Oryctolagus cuniculus: one gene and its partner. The protein of the gene in region 1 binds, or shares a complex with, the protein of each later gene. Links are inferred from orthologs where the notes say so. Each region holds a gene or a part of one and is shown in the gene's direction. Other genes may lie near its edges.

Region 1 (3,040 bases):
CTGCACTTTTTCTTTGCAACCTTACCTTGAAACTTTTAACCAACTTGAAAGAGACTTTTGCAGATTGCTGCTGGGCGTCATTCCCTTCAGTTTCTGGGTGTTTAAAGGAGGCAGAGCGTTGGAGGGCAGCCGTAAATGAGGCTGCGCCGGCGAGTTTAGCAATGCCCTAGACGTCTGTGTGGGCGCCTTTTTGGAGAGCGCTTTTGCATTGGAGATTAGGAATGCGGTGGCATGAACTGTTGTTATCTTTAGCCCTGTAACTTTCTCTCTCTCTCTCTCTCCCTCCCTCTCTCCCCTCTGTTTCTCTCTCTCGTGTGATACTAACCCTAAAATATTTATGCAATCAACCGATGTGCAAAACTTATGAGATTTGCTGCAATCTCTTATGAATGGTTTGCACTGAGCGCCTTTAAATTTACTTGCACTGACTTGCGGGAAAAAAAAGAAGAAGGTAGAAAAGGCAGTTGCTTCACGGAGGCGCTAAGCTTTCCTGTTTACCGCAAGATGGGGCGGACCCGCCTGCCCACACCTCGCTGCGCCCTCCGACCCTAAGCACACCTGCTCCTAGAGAGTTATTAATAGAGTCCAAAAAATGACTTGCGCTGTCAAATGATTTTCGTGCAAATCTAATTTCTTGCATGGCAATTAGGAGGTGGTGCTTGCGTCCTTGAGCTTGGCGTGGGTGGGGGGTAAAGTGGGGCAAGGGAAGAGGTGTGCGTCTCCACCCTGTGGCTGGCGGTTAAGTGTCTTCCGAGGAGAGGCCGTGAGCTGGTGGTGAGCGCACAGCTGAGCTGGTGGCGGCTTCGGAGAATCTCCCGAATGGAAATCAGGGCGTCGAGGGTGGGGCGAGCAGGCGAGAGTGGAGTCCGAATGGGGCGCCTCCCCACCCCTACTCCTTCCGCCATGCACCCCAGGTTTCCCATTTCCATTTGAGCGGCTGTGACAATAGGGAGAGAGTTTTCGTCTCTTCTGTTTGGAATTTTCAGCTTGGGTAAATGTTTGGGCTTTCTTCCTCTGTTTCCCCTCGCCCCTACCCCCAACGGCCCCACCCCCCTTTTTGCAAGAAATTTATTTAACAAAAAAGTTCCCCTCCCTACGTTTCCCTAAACCAAATCAACAAGAACAAAACTGGAGCAGTGCCTTGGCCAGAATGAATTATACCAGTGTGCTGTGGCTTTCTGCCTGACTCCTTCCTCTTTGTGACTTGTTTCAGGCTGCGGTTTCTGAGGCTCTCCCCAGGCAAGGCAAGGCTGCACAAAAAAGCCTGGATTGCTCCCTGAACCTCCCCGGCAGCGGGTGACAGCTCGTGCCTCAGCCTCGCCCTCTAGCGCTCGTCCGGAGAAGAGCTCCCCGGGTTCGTGGCGCGGAGACAGAGCGGGTACCATGGGGCCCACCAACATCCCGCTGGTCAAGGCCCTCCGCAACTCGGTCTCCGACTATGTCAACTACGATATCATCGTGCGGCATTACAATTACACGGGGAAGCTGAACATCAGCGCGGACAAGGAGAATGGCATTAAGCTGACTTCGGTGGTTTTCATTCTCATCTGCTGCTTCATCATCCTGGAGAACATCTTTGTCTTGCTGACCATTTGGAAAACCAAGAAATTCCACCGCCCCATGTACTACTTTATTGGCAACCTGGCCCTCTCAGACCTGTTGGCGGGAGTGGCCTACACCGCCAACCTGCTCTTGTCGGGGGCCACCACCTACAAGCTGACGCCGGCGCAGTGGTTCCTGCGGGAAGGGAGTATGTTTGTGGCGCTCTCTGCGTCGGTGTTCAGCCTGCTGGCCATCGCCATCGAGCGCTACATCACCATGCTGAAGATGAAGCTGCACAATGGCAGCAACAGCTTCCGCTCCTTCCTGCTCATCAGCGCCTGCTGGGTCATCTCGCTCATCCTGGGTGGCCTGCCCATCATGGGCTGGAACTGCATCAGCACGCTGTCCAGCTGCTCCACCGTGTTGCCGCTCTACCACAAGCACTATATCCTCTTCTGCACCACCGTCTTCACCCTGCTCCTGCTCTCCATCGTCATCCTGTACTGCAGGATCTACTCCCTGGTCAGGACTCGGAGCCGCCGGCTGACCTTCCGCAAGAACATTTCCAAGGCCAGCCGCAGCTCGGAGAAGTCGCTGGCGCTGCTCAAGACCGTCATCATCGTCCTGAGCGTCTTCATCGCCTGCTGGGCCCCGCTCTTCATCCTGCTTCTGCTGGACGTGGGCTGCAAGGTGAAGACCTGCGACATCCTCTTCAAAGCGGAGTACTTCCTGGTGCTGGCTGTGCTCAACTCCGGCACCAACCCCATCATTTACACGCTGACCAACAAGGAGATGCGCCGGGCCTTCATCCGGATCATGTCCTGCTGCAAGTGTCCCAGCGGAGACTCGGCCGGCAAGTTCAAGCGCCCCATCATCGCGGGCGTGGAATTCAGTCGCAGTAAATCGGACAACTCCTCCCACCCCCAGAAGGACGATGGGGACAACCCCGAGACCATCATGTCTTCTGGCAACGTCAACTCGTCCTCCTAAAACGGACAGCTGCCAACCCGTGGGAAGCACTGTTACATGGTCGCCCACCACCCGGCGTCGGGGGTGGGGGTAGGGGGACCGTCTCTGGGCCTCGACTGTTGCCAGGGAGGAGCTGCTGCGAGCCAGAGGGATGGAGGAGGGGGGAAACCGCAGCATCGTGGCGGTGCCTCGTGTTTGTGGTAGCAGTAGCTCCCCTGAACAATGCACTGGGAAGGGTGGAGATCGGGCCGGCCTGGAGTCTGTTTCCTCCCCACTGGAGCTTTGATTTTGCACTGAGCCAAAGGTCTAGCATTGTCAAGCTCCCGAAGGGTTCTTTTGGCCCCTCCTCAAAGACTAACGTCCCCATGAGAAAGCGTCCGTCTGTCTGGAGTGTTGGAAAGATGTTTTCTTTCACTTGAGTTCCAAATCCGAGTGAGCGTGTGCACTTCTGCTTGTTTTGGGATGCTCCGCACATCCCTCCCTCCCTTCCCCTTCACGCCCCTCCTCCAACTCCTTTACTTTGTATCTT
Region 2 (4,297 bases), on another chromosome or scaffold:
GACTACGTGGTGGGCGGAAGTGCTGGATCCCTGTTAGGGAGAAGACTGAGACAAGGAGGAGGAAGAGAAGGTGGGTGGCCAGATGGCAGATGCTGGGATGAAGCCATTCCCCCCACCCCCAACTTGAGATGAAATGCAGTCCTGTGCCTCTTACTAGTGTCCCTGTCCACTAGGACCTCATGGGTGACAGCGGCCTCAGGCGGAAGCTGAAAAATCCCTATTGACTGGTGACGTTTCCAACACATTACTTACCTGTGTATAATGGCGCTGGCGTGAACATAACTGCTGCTCTGCCAGTTGTACCCGAGTGTAGCAGTCGGGCAGCTCCAGGGCCTTGAGAGGAGCCGCCGAGTCGCCCCTTGCCCACCCTCCGGCCCTCACTCACCCCGACCCGCGGCCGTGGCCCCGCGCAGCCCCCAGGACTCCGCACCGCCGCCGCCGCCCTCTCCGCGCCGCGCCGCCCGCCACCGCCTCTCCGGCCACAGAGACCGCGATCGCGGCCGGGGACGCCGCCCAGAGGGCAGCGTGGCCACCGGACCTACGTACCCGCCTTGCTCACTATTTTTATGAGTGTATAACTAATAACTTTTTGTCTATAAAAGAATTTTAAAGAGACGTCTTCAATTTGTATTTAATCGAAAGCAGCCGCATCTCGGGCCACTAAGGTTGTGACTTCGTTTCTAAGCCCCGCCCCCCTCCTTCGCTGACTTTGGGGTTTTCGGGGTCCCTGGCTGCTTCGGGCTCCTGAGGACCGCCCGGGCCCCCACATTCGTGAGGCGGCCCCCGGGCGAGTGTGACGTGGCTGTCCGCGGTGCTCCGCTCCCGCGCTTCCCCGCGTTCACGTGCGGCGCGGCGAGAGGGCGGAAGACACTGCGCCCCGCGGGAGCCCCATAACAGCTGGCGGGAGGAGCTCTCCCGCACGAAGCGACCTCCCCCGGCCGCCCCTACGCCCCGGCGGCGGAAGACTCGGGGCCGCCGCCTCCGCGTCCTCCTCGGCGTCTGCCTCTGCATCGTCCTCCCCGCCATGCAGCGGTCTCGCTGGTGCGCGCTCCGCCTTGCCAGCTTCAGCCACCGGATCCGCGCGACCCGGGGGCGACCCGGGCGGCGGCCAAGCTCCCTGGCCTGGAGCCTGCGCCCCCTCCCACGGCTCCCTTCCAAGCTGGCGGACAGCCACGACTTGAGCCCGCCGGGCGGCTTCCTGCGGCCGGGATTGGACCCCGTGTCCGTCCCGCCGCAGAGACCGCTACCGCCAGGTGTAAGGCTGAAGGCAGTGAGCGCCCCCGGCCGCGAGTACGGCAACCCCGCGTGTTCGTCCGTGTTAGCAGGGGCGGCTCTGGGGGCAACCGCCGGGCGTTGGCGGCGCCCCACAGCGCCCGAAAGCTAGCCGGAGGCCGTCAGTCGGCCCCTAGAGGCCCACTTGCGCAGTGGGCCCCTGGATCTCAGCCACGGCCAGCGGCCGACTGCACACGACTTCCCCCTGGGGCGACAGCTCTCCAGCAGGACTACCCCGGGCCCCGGGTCCCCGAGGAACTGCGGAGCAGCGGGCACTGTCACCCCGCCCTGTCGCTTCCTCCGGGCTTCCAGCCCCATCTCGGGCTCAACCATTCGCCCTTCCTGCCCGACCAGATGCAGCCGCAGGGACTGCCGCTCCGTCACCAAGAGCTCGTGGCATCCGGTTCCTGCCTGGCGGAGGAGTCCAAGCCAAAGAGGTGAAGGAGGTGGTGGCCGCGGAAAGGGATGGCCACCCACACTTCCGATTGCGCGGGCCAAAGTCCACGCAAAAACGTTCTCGTCTTCAGGCACACCTGCGAACCCACACAGGTGGGGGACAGTGCCGCTGTCACCGGCATGGCTTGTAGGTGGAAGTTGCTCCGATGACCCCACCGGGCATCGGCCGTTCCAGTGCCAGAGGTGCGCTCCGGCGTTTTTCGGGTCGGAGTGCTTCGCCTTACTCAAGAAGAGGCACTTTGAAATCCCAGCCAGTGGCCAGGACCCACGCTGCTGGAAGAGAATTCAGTATTTTTAGCCTTTGACACTGTTTTCCTGACGCGAGGGAAGCGCAGCCAGAAAGCACTACACTTTCAAGTTCCCAAGGAGTCAACTCCTGAATGGATAATCAGGAGAAAGGAGGAATCCGGAAGACAAAAATCTGAGGGCATGTGGGGTCTGCGGCCGGATCTTCTATCATTCCAATTCTAATTCAACTTGAGTATTTCTGGACTTAGACGGACCGCCTAGGGACTGACTGGAAGTTGTGGATATCAGGGTATCAAGAAGAGCCAAGCCTTGGGGCGAGGGAAGACCAGAATTGTCATGAATTGAGCTTTGGTGCAATGTAAGTACAAAGATCACCTTGTGTTCTCTTTGCCTTCTAAAAGCCATTGTTCCCATGTTAGACGAGGTAGAAATTCAGTTACAGAAAATGTGTGTGCATAGCAAGAATGAGGGTGCTTGGTGAGTCTTGGTGGTACAGGTGCCCAGTGAGGAAGCCTAAGTTCTTAAACTGCTGCCTGCTTTGACAAGGACAGTGTGTTGTCTTCTGATCTACATGTACGACCTAGCTCAGGTAAATACACCTACTTTAACTTCTTTAACATTTTCATGCACTGTAACTTCAGATGTGCAATAATTTGTACAATGGTTTATTCCCAAGGATGACGTAAGCAGAACAAATGTTTTTATTATGTAGTTTCTTGCCTTGATAAATATGTAGTACAAAGTTAAGCAAACTTCTATTTTGTATGTTTGTAAGCTACGGTTAAAAAATGGAACATTTTGGATACACAAGGTGAGAATTAAGTTTTAAATAAACCTATAATATTTTGTCTGAAAAAAGTGCAGCAATGCAATGATAGCATATAATTCTTTATAATGATAATAAATGTGTCACTGGTTTATATATACTGTATTTTAATCATTGTTTTAGAGATGCTTTCTGCTTCTATAGAAATGACATGCTGTGAAACAGTATATCGTATGACACTGACAGCAGCCTCATACACCTTGTACTTGCCTTGTGTCATAGTTGAATCAAGGGGCCAGGTTGGGTACTGTACCATCCAGCTACACTCTGATGTGAAAACAGTGACAAAATTACCTCTGGTGTACTTCCTTGAACACATCTCTGTTCTTAAGTGAAGTGTGACACTCTATAAAAATTTCTTTCTTTCTTTTTAAAAGTCTGTTTCCAAAGTGTCTTATCCCTACTTGAGAGCAATAGGAACACTGGGAAGAGCACCCATGAGTCAATAGACAAACTTGCATTTGAATTCTTTCTTCTAATACTTGCTGTGTGGCACCGGGCGAAATGCTTCCCAGCTCTGAGCCTGTGTTTAATCGTCCACTTGCTTGGTTCATGGAAAGCTTTTTTCACAGTCTGTGACTGTTCCCTGTATGTTTATTTTGGAATAACCTGGTGTGTAAGAACTGGCCACCAAAGGCAGGTGTTGTGAGACTAAAGAAAGAGGACAGATCCAAGATGACATGGGCTTTCATTTACTGGGGGGACTCATGGACGGAAGTGTGGTCTTGGGCAACCACAAGACAATGGATCCTTGCAGTCTTGGTCAGTGTTAATGGGTTTGCATGTTAAGCTGGACAGAGACAGTCCCGGGCTCACCTAGGTGCTCCTGGACTTTCTCAAGAAATAGCAACAAACCAGGCATCAGATAAAGCCCTTTCTCAGGGCTTGGGATGACCTCTAGGGACACCTAAAGAGCAAGATGGTGATTATGTCCAAAGTGGCTGGAGTAATGTCAAGCAGAATCCCTACAGTGCTGCGTCCTTACAATCATTACCATGTTTTGAACATGGGTGTGCTCACAGTAGGAAATGAAAACGTTACAGAGGGTTCTATCAGGGAAAACAGAGTCTGCTCCCACCCCTGATGCCCCGCCCATCCACTTTCATTTCCTGGGGAAAAACACTGTTGACTTTTTGTGTGCCTTATCAGATATATTCTGTTTATATAGAACGATGTATAAGTACATTCTTATACAAATACACACATGTATTTAACTCAAGTCATAGTATAGAATAACGTTATTCCTAATATAACTTTTCCTCTGTTAACTATGTTTTGAATTTTCTATTTTTATCCTCATTAAAACTGCCTTTTTTTTTAAAAAAAGATTTATTTATTTATTTGAAAGTCAGAGTTACAGAGATCAGAGGCAGAGAGAGAGAATGATCTTCCATTTGTTGGTTCACTTCCCAGACGGCCACAACTGGAGCTGCGCCAATCTGAAGCCAGGAGCCAGGAGCTTCTTCCGGGTCTCCCACAAGGGTGCAGGAACCC

Evidence for each region. Proteins that work in one complex are often made in the same cells at the same time.
Region 2: the proteins of S1PR1 (region 1) and early activation antigen CD69 are in contact, whole or in part, in a cryo-EM structure (PDB 8G94), measured with the Homo sapiens proteins. The link is inferred for Oryctolagus cuniculus from reciprocal best matches to the Homo sapiens genes S1PR1 and CD69. Residues at the interface, in NP_001307659.1 of Homo sapiens: Asn157, Leu160, Phe161, Ile164, Ser165, Trp168, Val169, Leu172, Ile173, Gly176, Ile179, Met180, Gly181; in NP_001772.1 of Homo sapiens: Val41, Ala44, Val45, Val48, Val49, Thr52, Ile53, Ile56, Ile59, Ala60, Val63.

The regions. Positions count from the first base shown.
Region 1 is NC_091438.1:69,072,811-69,075,850, reverse strand, and holds S1PR1 (sphingosine 1-phosphate receptor 1), read left to right. Parts: upstream 1-1,383; coding exon 1,384-2,532; downstream 2,533-3,040.
Region 2 is NC_091440.1:101,265,508-101,269,804, reverse strand, and holds the start of early activation antigen CD69, read left to right. Parts: upstream 1-1,492; 5' UTR 1,493-2,335; intron 2,336-4,297. UniProt on the Homo sapiens protein: Transmembrane protein expressed mainly on T-cells resident in mucosa that plays an essential role in immune cell homeostasis.